Xenopus tropicalis: one gene and its partner. The protein of the gene in region 1 purifies or fractionates together with the protein of each later gene. This does not show direct contact. Links are inferred from orthologs where the notes say so. Each region holds a gene or a part of one and is shown on either strand. Other genes may lie near its edges.

Evidence for each region.
Region 2: the proteins of cdh2 (region 1) and jup purify together in Homo sapiens (co-immunoprecipitation; 4 studies listed by BioGRID and IntAct, with this or other methods). This does not show direct contact. The link is inferred for Xenopus tropicalis from reciprocal best matches to the Homo sapiens genes CDH2 and JUP.

The regions. Positions count from the first base shown.
Region 1 is NC_030682.2:111,092,346-111,100,210, forward strand, and holds the start of cdh2 (cadherin-2 precursor), read right to left. Parts: upstream 4,455-7,865; 5' UTR 4,024-4,454; coding exon 3,955-4,023; intron 1-3,954. UniProt on the Homo sapiens protein: Calcium-dependent cell adhesion protein; preferentially mediates homotypic cell-cell adhesion by dimerization with a CDH2 chain from another cell. Cadherins may thus contribute to the sorting of heterogeneous cell types.
Region 2 is NC_030686.2:7,364,335-7,372,075, reverse strand, and holds the start of jup (junction plakoglobin), read right to left. Parts: upstream 4,166-7,741; 5' UTR 4,118-4,165; intron 1-4,117. UniProt on the Homo sapiens protein: Common junctional plaque protein. The membrane-associated plaques are architectural elements in an important strategic position to influence the arrangement and function of both the cytoskeleton and the cells within the tissue.

The DNA of each region.
Region 1 (7,865 bases):
GAGGGGGAGGGGCATATGGGATATAACTGTTCAGTCAGTTTGCTTTTGAATCTGACCTGCATGCTCATAAACTAACTGAGCAATTATGTCCCATATGCCCCTCCCCCTCAAGTCGCTGACTAACTAAGAGGTTAGAGAGCTGAAAGCAGGAAGTAGTGTTCTGGCTGTTACATTAGACATCTGCTCTCTCCAGCCTTTATAGATTACATTGTTGCCTAACCAGCTATATTAGAAATAGTTTTTATTTCGCACAGCCTATCTATTTTCCCGGTTTTATTCTTGCACTCAACTGTTCCTTTAAGAATAACACCAAATAAATATCTGTCCACATGACAAACTAAACTGACCAATAATTTAAATTTACCAGATAATGTGAAAACACATTGATATTTCTAGTAATTCCAGCAAGAAGGGTTATTATTATTAGTATTATAATTAACATGTATTTATTAGGCACCGACATATTCTGCAGCCAGGTTCAATAAATGTCTATATACACTGAGCATACATAATTACATTCAAATCTACCAATAACTGATATAAGAGATAAAGAGATTCCTGCCCAAAAGAGCTTACAAAGAGTGCTGAAGAACATGCTGGCTTCAATAAATGCAGCCCAGTAATGTGCAAGTGTTCCTGGATAACATTAAAATAATCTGCATATTCAGATCTGAGAACAGAATTGCATTGGACACCTCAGTTATTAAGCACTTTAAGTCACATGACATTAAGGATACAGATTTGTTTCCCAAAAATCCACTTCCTCCAAACCTTGCAAAAAAAAAAAGTAAATAAAAATCCCAACTACAATCCTGAATCTAGTGAATCCCTGTTATTATTGTTATATGGGTTTTGGCACATATTTTCAATAAAAACTAACTGAATGATTTATGTATTTAAAACCTATGACTCTAAATCATTTCTTTATACATAAATGAGGATTGTGGACATGGGCAGAGCCTCCGAGTTGAAATGGGATTGTTTCTGCAGTGCAAAATAGTTCATCTTGCCAATAACACTTGCTTGTTCTGAGCCGTCAGCTTAATTTCCTTATTTCAATGTGGATCTATACTCTTTCCCAACATCTTTGGTCTTAGAATTAGCAAGTGCCCTATACTTTGAATTGTGACATTCCATTGTGCTGCATGACACATACCAGTGAGAATATTAAAACAGAAAAGGGAAATTAAATTCCACAGCTGGAACATTACTGATGCCTCTGATATTGATAAAACAAAGCCCATTTCCTGCTCAAATGTTCAACTTACCCTGAATAAAGCTTATCTAAAATCTCCCAACCAAATGTCACCTTCTCACATGAAATCCATAGGAATGAAATGTCACAGACCTATGCAATACATCATGCTATGGAACCTTATTCACTGCCTGGAGTAACTTTAACAGCAAAAATAACTATAAATCCCGAATGTCACTACAGCCAGATATAAGTGTACATAAATGCTGAACAATGTAATTATTGTAACTTAAAATATTTCTCCAAGGAATAAGGGAATCACACTGCAAATATGTATTACAATGTGTCGAGATATAAACCCATTTTCCAGAATACTGAAGCACAATCTGTACTCTGTAAGGTTTACAAGGCCTTAAACCTGTGCCCAGCCAAAATCACACCATCTGTCTGATCACTCTCTATACAACCTTACCAGAAAATGCACTTAAACTAATAATAAGACTTTTAGAGGGTGATTTATTTATTTTAATTAAGAAATAAAGCAATTCTAAAAGTCATTGGAATAGTAATTGGTTCCGAAAGGCACCTACTGCATCTTGTGGCAAGGGCTGAGCCTTAGACTCAATGCGTTTTCCCATGTACTGTGCTGCAGTCAGGAGTAAAGGAGTTCATTCATTCCTTGTTTGGGAAAAATCTGGGGTTAGTGGGTTAGTTATGTGCCTTTCCATTGAGAAATGTGTGTAAAATTTGCTTTTTTTTCGGTTATTAATTATTGAAAAATTCAGGTGGCAAAGATTTGTCTGATTGGGGTTGTGGGTTTTTTTGAGAAACATGGATGAGATTGGTGACTTCTTAAAAAGCATTTTGCAGAGGAGATACGCCATACAAAAGGCATATAAAAGCAGGAAGACAGTCAGCACATTAGGGCTTACAGACGGTAAAACCTGGAGTCAGACTCTAAGTAATCCCTACGGCTATGCTGGCTCCAATTTAAACACCATGGACAGTAACTGCAGAGATGCAGAAACTCCACTGAACAGGGCACAGGGCAAGAGCTACAGACTTGAAAAAAAAAAACAAAAGAGAAAACGGAGAGTGAAACATGGAAATGGAAGGGGTGTACAGAGACATAGGGGTGGGTGGAAAGGCAATTGCAAATAAACAGCCATAAAGGAAAAATAGTTGTAACAAATATCCAGAGTTAGCAAAACAATAAAGCAGATGATGCAGGGAATGAATGTTCCAAGGAGCACCACTCCCCTCACCTTATTGTTACTATGAGATACAAAGAGATCCTTTAATGCCAAATATGCCCACCCACACAAAGTAGGCAGTTAGCCTTGAAGACCACCGCCCCTTAAAATCAGAGACAGTGTCTATTTCATGGAATGCCCAGGAGCTTATTAGAGGTACAATGTGCCTGATATAAAGGCTAGGAAAGTAATAGGAGGCAAAGAGAATGTAGATAAATAAATATAAAGCTTACACACTTGCATTTGCTGATAGAGTAGAGCAGAGAAGGAATGGAGAGGAGAGAGGGTCAGGCAGCTAAAGAGATTGAGGATCTCCCTCCAGCTACTAGTAAATAGTATTATGCAACAAAGATCTGCACCATCTGTGCTACTGTTGCCAGGAGTCTTCATTTTAGCTTTTACACACTGTCTCACACAGCAGCAGCATTTGGGTTATTGTATGCAATCACAACCAACCCCCCACCACACCACCCCCAGCACACACACACAAAGTCACAGGCACTTTTATACACTGCCCTGTAGCCCCTGGTACCAGTGGGCAGTATTCATGGAAGCACTGCGGGCACCCCAAGCACATGGAAGAGCTGAGCAGGCTGGGTATCAGTGTGGGGCTGGAAGGGTAATTTCAGGCACTTCTGGGGGGAGGGGTTTTACCCCCACAGCATGGAGTACCCAATATATAAATGTAAAGGCCACATAAAAGGCAATATTAGCATCTCAATCCAGACAGACATTACAAAAGGGACAAGTTGACATAAATTGTTTCATGTCTCTGTGGGGAAGAAGGACAGTAGCCCCTTGTTCATTGTTGTCTCTCCCTGTACACTGAATGCCCCGTACCCCCTACTAATACTAATACTAACGGTTGCCCTTAGCCCTAGTGCCTTATCCGCAGGCAGAGGGGACCGGGGAACAAGCGCATCCCAGCGCCACCTGCCATGAGCGGGAGAGCCAAGAGGGACAGGGGCAGCGAGAGACCTCAGGCGAACCCGCTCCCTGGCATCGCCGGTACCAAGCGGCCGTGTCTAGGGGGGGGGAGTGTGCCAGGCCGGGCTAGCGGCAGGGGGGAGTGTGCCAGGCCGGGCTAGCGGCAGGGGGGAGTGTGCCAGGCCGGGCTAGCGGCAGGGGGGAGTGTGCCAGGCCGGGCTAGCGGCAGGGGGGAGTGTGCCAGGCCGGGCTAGCGGCAGGGGGGAGTGTGCCATGCCGGGCTAGCGGCAGGTGTCTGGGAGGCGCCACTCAGGCTCCTAGGAGCAAGTGTACAAGTTACCGGCCGCTGTTGGGCCTACGGGGCGGTTTTAGGGAGGTGGGTATGAACATAGAGGCACCATAATCTCCCCCAGCACAGGGCTACATTCCTATATTGTCGGACTGCATCTCCCACCAACCCTCCACTGTCGCCGGGAAGCAGTGCAGCCGCTGCATTGGGAGTGAGGCTGGCGGTGCCCATGTTACCCAGACGCACAGAGCGCACCGTGTAGCCAAGCCCCGGGGCCGTACGGGCTTTACCTGGTGCAGCATCAGGGCCGCTAGGATGCTGAGGGCAGTCGGTAGCAGGAAGGGCTCTTTCCGGCACATGGTGCTGCTGTTAAGGGTCGGGGAGGGAGATGGCTTTGACTGTAGATGAACAACGAGGAGCCGCCGGTATAGTCCAGGCTTACAGAGGCAGCAGGGTGCCCGGGGAGCCGGGCATGGGCAGCGGGACTCGAATAACAAAACACAAAGCTCCGGGTGATTTCCAGGGGATCCTCTTGCAGTCTGCACCCACCCCACGGGAGGAGTCCCTCAAAGCTGCCGCCGCTGATGGGTATCAAGGCTGCCAACCATAGGCTATCCTCTTCCTTTTGTTTCCCAACTTATATTCCAAAGCGGGGGATAACGGGAGGCGGAATGGCAAACACCCAGAGTAGGAGACAATCCAGGGGAGCGAGAGTCGCTGCGGCAGATGCTGCAGGTAGACGGGGAGATGGAAGGGAGAGCCTTTAGTCCTTATTAGCCGCTGGTCCAGCTCCGTCTCACACACAGCACTTTCCCACTAACATCACACTCACTGGTTCCCAGTGTCTCCCCTGCTCCCTCCTCCTCCTCCTCCTCCTTCCCCGGGTGCCTCACTCACTGATAACAATGCAAGGCGCTGGCTGGATGAATCCCGGGCGGCTCTCACTTGCAGCGCCCCGCCCGCTCCTGTCACTCCTCACACACAGTTTGGTGAGGTGCCCTCAGCCTCCCTGCCTCATATACAGATTGGTGAGGTGCCCTCAGCCTCCCTGCCTCATATACAGATTGGTGAGGTGCCCTCAGCCTCCCTGCCTCATATACAGATTGGTGAGGTGCCCTCAGCCTCCCTGCCTCATATACAGATTGGTGAGGTGCCCTCAGCCTCCCTGCCTCATATACAGATTGTTGAGGTGCCCGTCAGCCTCCCTGCCTCATATACAGATTGGTGAGGTGCCCTCAGCCTCCCTGCCTCATATACAGATTGGTGAGGTGCCCGTCAGCCTCCCTGCCTCATATACAGATTGGTGAGGTGCCCCTCAGCCTCACTGCCTCACACACAGATTGGTGAGGTGCCCGTCAGCCTCCCTGCCTCACACACAGATTGGTGAGGTGCCCGTCAGCCTCCCTGCCTCACACACAGATTGGTGAGGTGCCCGTCAGCCTCCCTGCCTCACACACAGATTGGTGAGGTGCCCGTCAGCCTCCCTGCCTCACACACAGATTGGTGAGGTGCCTGTCAGCCTCCCTGCCTCATATACAGATTGGTGAGGTGCCCGTCAGCCTCCCTGCCTCATATACAGATTGGTGAGGTGCCCGTCAGCCTCCCTGCCTCATATACAGATTGGTGAGGTGCCCGTCAGCCTCCCTGCCTCATATACAGATTGGTGAGGTGCCCGTCAGCCTCACTGCCTCACACACAGATTGGTGAGGTGCCCGTCAGCCTCCCTGCCTCACACACAGATTGGTGAGGTGCCCGTCAGCCTCCCTGCCTCACACACAGATTGGTGAGGTGCCTGTCAGCCTCCCTGCCTCACACACATGCATGGCTGCACTTACACCGACGCTTGCTCGCTTTCTTATGGACTTTCCTTCATTTGTCTGTGCAGCAATACACCTACAGTGCTACACAATAATAATAATATACTGACTACCTGCTTTTCCTAATCCTTTCCTAACCATGTTTATTAAAATATTGCATTTTCTGGCATACCCTAAAGGCTAAAGTTCACCAAACTTATTCAGGGCCCCAGCTGTGCGTTGAACCTAAGTGCATGAACTTTAGCTTATAGGGTATGCATGGAAATGGAAATTTTTGGAACTAAATTGGGTTGGTAACCCAGGAATCCTTCTGCTTTGCATACAAATAAGGAGAAGGTCTCCAGACATGATTTTAAATTTCAGAAGATCCTTACTCATTTACTATTATAGGTGCTAAATTGTACCAGCACAGTTCCCTATAGCAACCAATCAGAAATTAATTTGACAAGTTAGAAAATAAATAGCTGATCTGATTGGTTGCTATGGGGAAATGCAGTGGTGCACTTTTTTCTATAATTTCTTTTTATTGGTTCTACAAACACCCACATTTTGCACAGAATAACATGGGCAACTGGGAACTACAGCAACACCAATATGCAAAGCATGTCCATATCTCTTTAACTAACTCTCTCTTTATTCACATATTTCTTTCAACTTCTGTATCTGGGTCTGTGCATTGCCTGCTTAAGACTGTGTTTGCTATCATATACTTTATGGAGATTATATAACAAAGAGGTGCAAAGTTTTTGAAGCCTATAGCAGCCAATCAGTAATAGCATTTACTGATTAAAAGCAAATATTGGATTGGTTCCTATGAGCAAAGGCTACTTACTATGTTTTGTCTTAGGGCTCTGGCACACGGGGAAGATTAGTCGCCCGCGATTAACTCCCTGTTCGCGGGCGACTAATCTCCCCGAGTTGCCTAGCCCTGCCATCCCACCGGCGAACATGTAAGTCGCCGGCGGGATGGCAGACGCGGCGGGGCGATTTCCGGAAGTCGCTGAAAAAGACTCGCGAGTCTTTTTCGGCGATTTGCGCGAAATCGCGCCGCCGCATCTGCCATCCCGCCGGCGACTTACATGTTCGCCGGTGGGATGGCAGGGCTAGGCAACTCGGGGAGATTAGTCGCCCGCGAACAGGGAGTTAATCGCGGGCGACTAATCTTCCCCGTGTGCCAGAGCCCTTAAAGCACAGAATGCTATAAGTTACTGAGTAATATTTAATGCTATTGTAAAAGAAGCCCAGAAGTGCAGACCCTCCCTAGTATCAATACAGTACAGAGCTGCAAATGTAAATAATACTGCACTCAAATTTAAAATACAAAATTCTTTATTATGACATGATTATCATCTCTGATAGCGAAGAGGACATTCCTAAAACCTTTTTTTTCCTGTAATCTGCAAGGATGTCCCCCTGTCACCTTCAAAGACCTAAGGGGTATTTATCATGCACAAAGTGCAAAAAGCAGGCATGAGCCTTCATTTTATTTGCACTTTGCACCCTGTCCTGTGGGTGAGTGCCCAGAGGTGCAAAGACCTGTGCAGGCCTGGGATTCAATACAGGGCCTGGCATTTCAACTACACAGAGGCTCAAACAGTCCCTACCAGCCCAATAAATAGTGGCTGTCTATGGCATCTTACAGCAGCCCCTCTTGCATTTGCCAGAATCCACAGATTGCTAGTTCAGGCCTTGACCTGGTAAGCAGGACTCATGTGGCCATGATGTAATCTATACTGATTTCTTGAAGAAGTGGTAAACCTGTTTACAAAAATAGATGTACAAAATAGTGTAACCAGAATGATAAGTGAAAAAGTCACTATGATGCCTTCGTGAGAGGTATATTCTACCAATCTCTAGCCCACAGAGCTATGGCTCATGAGAATTTCTGATTGCTTCTGTTCAGCTGCAAATAATATAGCTTGTTAATTTCACTCACAGTATTTATGGCGTCTATGTGTGCAGCTTTACCACTGGACATTAAGGGGCTAATTAATCAACATTAAAATTCTTGCAAAGATTCAATTATTTTATTTTTGCTAAAACTCACAAATTCAAGTCATGACTACTTAAACCAAAAGTTCGATATTAATTTAGCACAATAAACTCTAATATAAAATACTGGCATCTAAAAGCTTGTAGACATTAATGCAATTTTTTTAATTTCACTTATTTTAATTTTTTTCCATTTTTCCAAAATTTACAGATTCAGATTTTGATAAATCATTCTCCCACCGTCATGCATGTGCAAATGTCTTTTCCTACTTGAATGTGTATATTGAGACATTGTGCCATTGAAAGCCACTAGAGAGTGCCATTGAAATGTCACTAGAGAGTGCAGCGACATGCAACCAAACTGGTAAGAGCAATTGAAGAATGCAACTAAG
Region 2 (7,741 bases), on another chromosome or scaffold:
CAATATTGCACTAGTGAGCTCCAGTGGTGCCAAGATGCCAATTCCACCTCTCATATAATGTGACTTGTAAGGTAGGGGAATCACAGAAGTGTGCAAGGCACTGTGGGAAATGGAGTCTTAGCTGGAGGAGAGCAAGGGGGAAATTGGAGGGTGATAGGGGCTGAAGAATAAAGGGCTGAGGGGAATATGCAAGGCACTGTGGGAAATGGAGTCTCGGCTGGAGGAGAGCAAGGGGGAATTGGAGGGTGATAGGGGCTGAGGGGAATGTGCAAGGCACTGTGGGAAATGTAGTCTTAGCTGGAGGAGAGCAAGGGGGAAACTGGAGGGTGATAGGGGCTCAGGGGAATGTGCAAGGCACTGTGGGAAATGTAGTCTTAGTTGGAGGAGAGCAAGGGGGGAAATTGGAGGGTGATAGAGGCTGAAGAATCAAGGGGTAAGGGGAATATGCAAGCCATTGTGGGAAATGGAGTCTCAGCTGGAGAAGAGCTGATTTAGGGCCAAAAGCAGGGGTAGACAGGAGCAGCACATGCCTTGGGCACAGTTGGTATGGGGGGAATTGGAGGAAGAGTGGCCAAGAGCATAGGGGCAGCAGGAACGAGGGGCGGGGGGGGGGGGCATTTATACTTAAAATGATAATCTGTATTTAAAGCAAAAGGAAAACTTGATTAGGATTCCATTTCATAATACAACATGCAGGGAGGTACATTATCCGAATGATGCAAACAAGCAGTATTCTAAGAATTTGTAATGTAATTATTGCGAGCTTGTTGTACTGGAGCGCAAAACGGTTATCTAGTTGCCGTGGTTATTAAGCCTAGCAACCAGGCTGGGGACCAACTGCACAATTCCACCTATAAGATATTAAAAGATAATTTTGAGGTGAGCCTCTGGATGATTCACTGTAACACAGAATCAGTTTTCCTAAGGTGTCTCTTACGAGTGCCCCTCTGACACGAGAGGAGGATCCTCCTTACCGGTGATTGATCTCTCGCTGCCTCTGCAAAGTCACTGAACTCCATCCCCCCCCACATCCCCCCCACATCCCCGGCTGCTTTTGTCAGCACTGAAAGAATTCACACCATCCCATGAAAATTCCAAGCCTGACTCATGCACCCACCCCTCCTGACAACAGCCGCAGCATTCCTGCTGCCCCATCCACACAATATTGCCCCCCTTATTAGTCACTACCTGTATCACCTGCTTTCCCACACCCAGGTTTTATTTCCCCTTTCCTTCTTAAGTTACTGATGCTGAACTGCGACATTCAGTGATCTTGGGACAGAGATCAGTTATAGTTATATACAGAACACCCCCAGATAAGGGCAACCCTAGCATTAACATACACCCCCCCCCCACCCATTGGAGGTCTAGAAAACCTCCCAGAATTCCTCTCCCAGATTCTTTCAATCACCTAAAGCAACTGTTAATCTTTTGGGCTCAATGTGCCGCTGTCTCCTCTGGCAGCGAGAAGGGAAAACACAAAGCCCGTGGCCATGAATCATTTCAAATGATGGGCTCACTCCTGGCACTGTCCTTAGAATGCCTGGCACAGTGACGGAGCGAAAGCTTTATATGTGGGCGGGGGCACTATCTACTAAATAAAGCGCACAAAGTCCACTACTGTAAAAAGCCAAACACTGATATATGTGACTTTGTTAAAGTGACGGCAATGGAAAAGCCCATTAACTGAGACAATATTTGTCGAAAACGTAACTTCCTCCTAAGTGAACGCAACCCCTAGAACTCCCATAAAAACGCACAAATGAAATGACAATGTATCAAAATGTTACGTACATGTATTCTGTAATTCTGCTTTGTGGGTCGATGCTTTACGCCGCCCAAATTACAGATATTTAATGACTTGATCTGCTTGGCCAGAAGCAACATTTGTGCTGTGTGTGTCTGTGACTGGGGGCCACAATGGATCGGAGAATGTCGTTTCCCCCTCAGGGAAGAGTCTGTGCTGTGTAACGCCACTCCCTCACTACATACTGGGATGTCAGGTCGTGGGGAGGGGGGAGGTCACATTGTGTATTGTCATACCGCTGTTTGGTGGGGCAGGGGTGGGTTGCCTGCGTCTGCACAATAGATTTTGTATTTATATACAGTATAAGGTTAGTTACTAAATATTCCATTATAGGGTTAAGCCAATATAAACCCCCCTCCCAATTATGACCAAGTTGGACCTACTCAAAGGATATCTGCGCGAAAGTCAGCTACATGTGGTCGGTAAATCCAGTCGGGCAAGGACCCTTCTCAGCTTGAAACCCAGTAGTTGCCAGTTGGGTCTATCAGACCAGTTTGGGTGGCTTAATGGGGTAATTCTCCGCTTATTTAGCAACCTCACCAAACGAGTAGATCTTGCGGTGGGTGTATGGGCAGCTCTACAGTGTATGGATAAAGGATTACTGCTAGATAAACAGGTTATGCTAACGAGGGCAGAATCCAATGGCCATATATTGTTACACTACAATTCCCATGATGCACCAACAGCCTTCAGCTGGCAGCTGTAGCGAAAAGCACAGTACATGCTTTATCCGCCGTAGTAGCAAGTCCAACCTGCTCTCCCATAGGCATTAATAGAAGAAATCATCACTTGCTATGAAGGCTGGAATAATGACACAATGTAGCAATACACAGGAACAGAGCAGCACAACAGGAGGTATTTAAGAAACAACAACAAACATTCAGACAGAGAGAGAGACTTTCCCTCCATGGGATCAGTGTGGATGGGTGTAGCCAGTATATACATTTGCCTGGGGTAAATACAAAGGTAACACATGAGGTGATAGGGGAAGGGTGAGAAGAGCAAGCACAGGAGGGGTTAAATGAGCAGGTGTTACACCAGTGAAGGGGTTACAACAAGGAGAGAAAGGGTTAACCCATAGATAAGGAACAGGCTGAAATATAAGGGGAAACTGAGAATATTATTTTTTTTTTTTAGGGACTAATAGTGATGGGCAGCAAGCAGTGAGGCATATGGACTATCCCAAGCTATCATTTACAGCAGGTTAGCTGCCATAGAATACTGAGAGTTGCAGTTCAGCAGCAGCAAGGCATATGGACTATCCCAAGCTATCATTTACAGCAGGTTAGCTGCCATAGAATGCTGAGAGTTGCAGTTCAGCAGCAGTGAGGCAATGGACTATACCCAGTTATCATTTGTAGCAGGTTAGCTGCCATAGAATGCTGAGAGTTGCAGTTCAGCAGCAGCAAGCAGTAAGGCATATGGACTATCCCAAGCTATCATTTCTAGCAGGTTAGCTGCCATAGAATGCCGAGAGTTGCAGTTCAGCAGCAGTGAGGCAATGGACTATACCCAGCTATCATTTCTAGCAGGTTAGCTGCCATAGAATTCTGAGAGTTGCAGTTCAGCAGCAGTGAGGCAATGGACTATACCCAGCTATCATTTCTAGCAGGTTAGCTGCCATAGAATTCTGAGAGTTGCAGTTCAGCAGCAGTGAGGCAATGGACTATACCCAGCTATCATTTCTAGCAGGTTAGCTGCCATAGAATGCTGAGAGTTGCAGTTCAGCAGCAGTCAGGCATATGGACTATCCCAAGCTATCATTTCTAGCAGGGTAGCTGCCATAGAATGCTGAGAGTTGCAGTTCAGCAGCAGTCAGGCATATGGACTATCCCAAGCTATCATTTCTAGCAGGTTAGCTGCCATAGAATTCTGAGAGTTGCAGTTCAGCAGCAGTGAGGCAATGGACTATACCCAGCTATCATTTCTAGCAGGTTAGCTGCCATAGAATTCTGAGAGTTGCAGTTCAGCAGCAGTGAGGCATATGGACTATACCCAGCTATCATTTCTAGCAGGGTAGCTGCCATAGAATGCTGAGAGTTGCAGTTCAGCAGCAGTCAGGCATATGGACTATCCCAAGCTATCATTTCTAGCAGGGTAGCTGCCATAGAATACTGAGAGTTGCAGTTCAGCAGCAGCAGCTCAGAGACTAGGAAAGCTAAGCCCGAACCAACAGCCCTACAGGCTCCATAGGAGGAAAGAGAAGGCGCTTCAGGCTAGAGGCAGGGAAGGACACGCCATAGACCAAGAGATGCCAGTCTCCCCAGCCCGCCCCAGCCCACACACACAGCGATAATGGCAGCTCCTTACCCTGCGTTGTGAAGCGCTGGAAGAGGCCTCTGTATCCCCACAATTCAGTCAGGAACTCGCCCAGACCTGAACACTCCAACAACTAAGCCCTACACCGAGCTGTCAGCAGCACCCCCCACCCAACCAGCAACGCCCCGCCCCCCAGCCTGACAATAACCACTGCCCGGCCGTCTCTTGCTTTCAATTGGAAAACATGTGAATCAGTCACAACGCCCAGTCCTTCCCAAACGCCCACCCCACGAAGCCCACACTTTCCCCATTGGCTGCCTTCGCTGGCAATCATTCTTGTGTTTCACTCCATGCCTATTGTAATCTGCGATTGGGCACAAGTTGGGAAGGTGAACTCTGATTGGAGGAGTTCTATATCAATCCAAATAACGCCGTCCAATAGCTGCGGAGGGGGGCATTGCCCGCAGACACGGGTGTGACCTGTAATGCCCTCCTTTAAATGACGTTATGGGCTTCACCTGTGCAGGTGAGTCAGGCAGAAAGAGAGAGACAAGGGCAGCAGACAGGGAGGGGAGGTGTGAGCTGTAGTTTCTGTTATGGAGGTTTTTATAGGGCAACTGGTGCTGAGTAGGGGCGTATTCAGGGGCTTCTGATACGCAAGCCTTCCATTCTGTCAGGAGAACAAGAACACTACAAAGTCTCTTTATTATTAGTTCAACTCATTTCTGCTTTCCTTATTATAAGTGTTCCCTTATTGTGAGACTATACTATCTGATGGCAACTCTCCAGCTATTGGACTACAACTCCCAGCATGCCTTGACAGCCTATGTTTCCACACATTAAGAGATTCCCTTACAGTACAGCTTTGAAATAGTACATATTAGCCTCTGTACTCTGTACAGCAGGGGCCCTCAAACTCAAACAGGGGGCCAGTTCACGGTCCCTCAGACTGTTGGGGGGCTAGTCTTCAAACTACGCCTGCGTCCTCACCCCTGGCTACTACCTGTCTGCCTCGGCGTAGTCCCAGTGGGGGGCTGGGTAAATGACCTTGGGGGGCCATTGGCCTGCGGGCTGTAGTTTGAGGACCCCTGAACTACAGCTACCCATAACAGTTGATGGTGAGTGCTGGGAGTTGTAGTTTAGGCTGCTAATCGCTGCTTTTTGCTTTATATCTAGTTATGCTTAAACCATACGCTGACATCAATACAATGTCTGGTAGCTAAATGACTACATTAGGATGTAATTATGAAACAGATCAATCCCACCCCTGCCCCACCAAACAGTGGAATGACAATACACCGTGTCACCTCCCCCTCCCTACGACCTGACATCCCAGAATGTAGTGAGGGAGCGGCTCTTCCCTGGGGGGTGAGAACTAGACTCCCTGCTCCGCTGTGGCCCCATAGGGTCAGCAGTACAGTGACAAGCAACTGTATTTACCAGGGGGCACCCTACAGAACACAGGGAAGTTTCACTTGTACATAACAATGATACATTGTCCTCACTGGAGTTAAATGGGAGTTCCGGGGTTGTGTTCACTTGGGAGGAAATTATGTTTTTTAATGGGCACAAGCAAATATTGGCTTTCCAATTGCCGTCACTTTGAATGTAAAGTGAACATATAGCTCCCTACTGTAGTGGACTTTATTCACTGCATTTAGTAGATCATGCCCTTACCCCCCCTCCCCAACATACAGTGCCCGGTTAATGGGAATATTCTTTCAATGACTGTACCAGACAGTCTTCAGCCGTGTGAGAACAGTGCCCATGATTTGAAATGATTCATAGCCAATGGATTAGAGATTTTTCTTCTTGCTGCCAGAGGAGACAGCAACACATTGAGCCCAAAAGAATAAAGGGGTTGTTCACCTTTTTATTTACTTTTTTGTTTAGCACTTCAGAAGCTCTCCAGTTGCTAGGGTTCAGTTTAACCTAGCAACCAGGCAACAATCTAAAAAAGAGAGATTGGAATATTAATAGTGGAGGGCCTAAATAAATAAGGAATAAAAAGTAACAATAATGATAAAATTGTAGCCTCACAGAGCAATAGTATTTTGACTGCCAGGGTCAGTGACCCCCATTTGAAAGTTGGAAAGAGTCAGAATAATTCAAAGATGATTAAAAAAAATAAAGACCAATTAAAAAGTTGCTAAGAATAGGCCATTCTTTTATAAAGCGCCAACATATTCCGCAGCGCTGTACAATAGGTATGTGGGAGAGGAATTCTGGGAGGTTTTCCACACCACCAATGGGGGTGGGTTGTTAATTTTAGGGGATGTTCTGTATGTGACTGTAAGAGCATTGATTGTCAGTTCAGCATCAGTAACCTGCGAAGGGAAGGGGAACCAAAACCTGCTCCCAAAAAGCAGGTGAAAGAGGTAGTGACTAATAAGGGGGGATGATTTTGTCTGGATGGGGCACTATTATTACTAAAGAGTTGGCAGGAGGGGTGGGTGCCTGGAATTTTCACGGAATAGTGTGAATTATTTTAGTGCTGAGCGGAGAGGCGGTGCCTGTGCTAGTAAATTATGGATGCTCAGTTGGCCACAGGGATTCCTCCCATGATTCCTTGAGTTAAAGTTTAAACCGCTAATGTTTTTGCTCTAAGGGAAGAAAAGAGTGTACCATGGGGCATGGGGGGTACCTTTGGTTACATGGCGGCTTTCCCTGCATTCAGGGCTGACCGTAGCCAGCAGGGAGTGGGCCGGGAGTACCAGAGACTGCAACCAGAGATCAATCACTGCTAATCTGCCATTAGGAGACTGCAGAGAACTTCAGAGGATTTAAACTTTAATGATTTTCTTTAACTGAAATGATTCTGCCAGAATGCCAGCGGCTTATTGCGAGTTGCAGAACACCGTTTTAGTTTCAATTTTAGTATGTTATAGCATGGCTTAACTTTTCGGTTGGTCTTCGTTTTTATTTTTTTTATTGTTTTGAATTGTAAGTTTTATCACATGGCTTTCTATTTCATTCATATTCCTGTCTCTCTTTCAAACCACATTCTGGTTGCTAAAATGGACCCTAGCAACCAGACAGCTGTTCAGATTCCAAGCTGGAGAGCTGCAGCACGAAAAGCTAAATAATTCAAAAACTACAAGTACAGGTATGGGACCTGTTATCTAGAATGCTCTGGACCTGGGGTTTTCTGGATAAGGGATCTTTCCGTAATTTGGATCTCCATAACTTAAGTCTGCTAAAAATCATTTAAAGATTAAATAAACCCAATAGGATTGTTCTGCCCCCAACAAGGGGTAATTATATCTTAGTTGGGATCAAGTACAGGTACTGTTTTATTATTACAGAGAAAAGGGAATCATTTAACCATTAAATAAACCCAATAGGGTTGTTCTGCCCCAATAAGGGGTAATTATATCTTAGTTGGGATCAAGTACAGGTACTGTTTTATTATTACAGAGAAAAGGGAATAATTTAACCATTAAATAAACCCAATAGGGCTGTTCTGCCCCAATAAGGGGTAATTATATCTTAGTTGGGATCAAGTACAGGTACTGTTTTATTATTACAGAGAAAAGGGGAATCATTTAACCATTAAATAAACCCAATAGGGCTGTTCTGCCCCCAATAAGGGGTAATTATATCTTAGTTGGGATCAAGTACAGGTACTGTTTTATTATTACAGAGAAAAGGGAATCATTTAACCATTAAATAAAC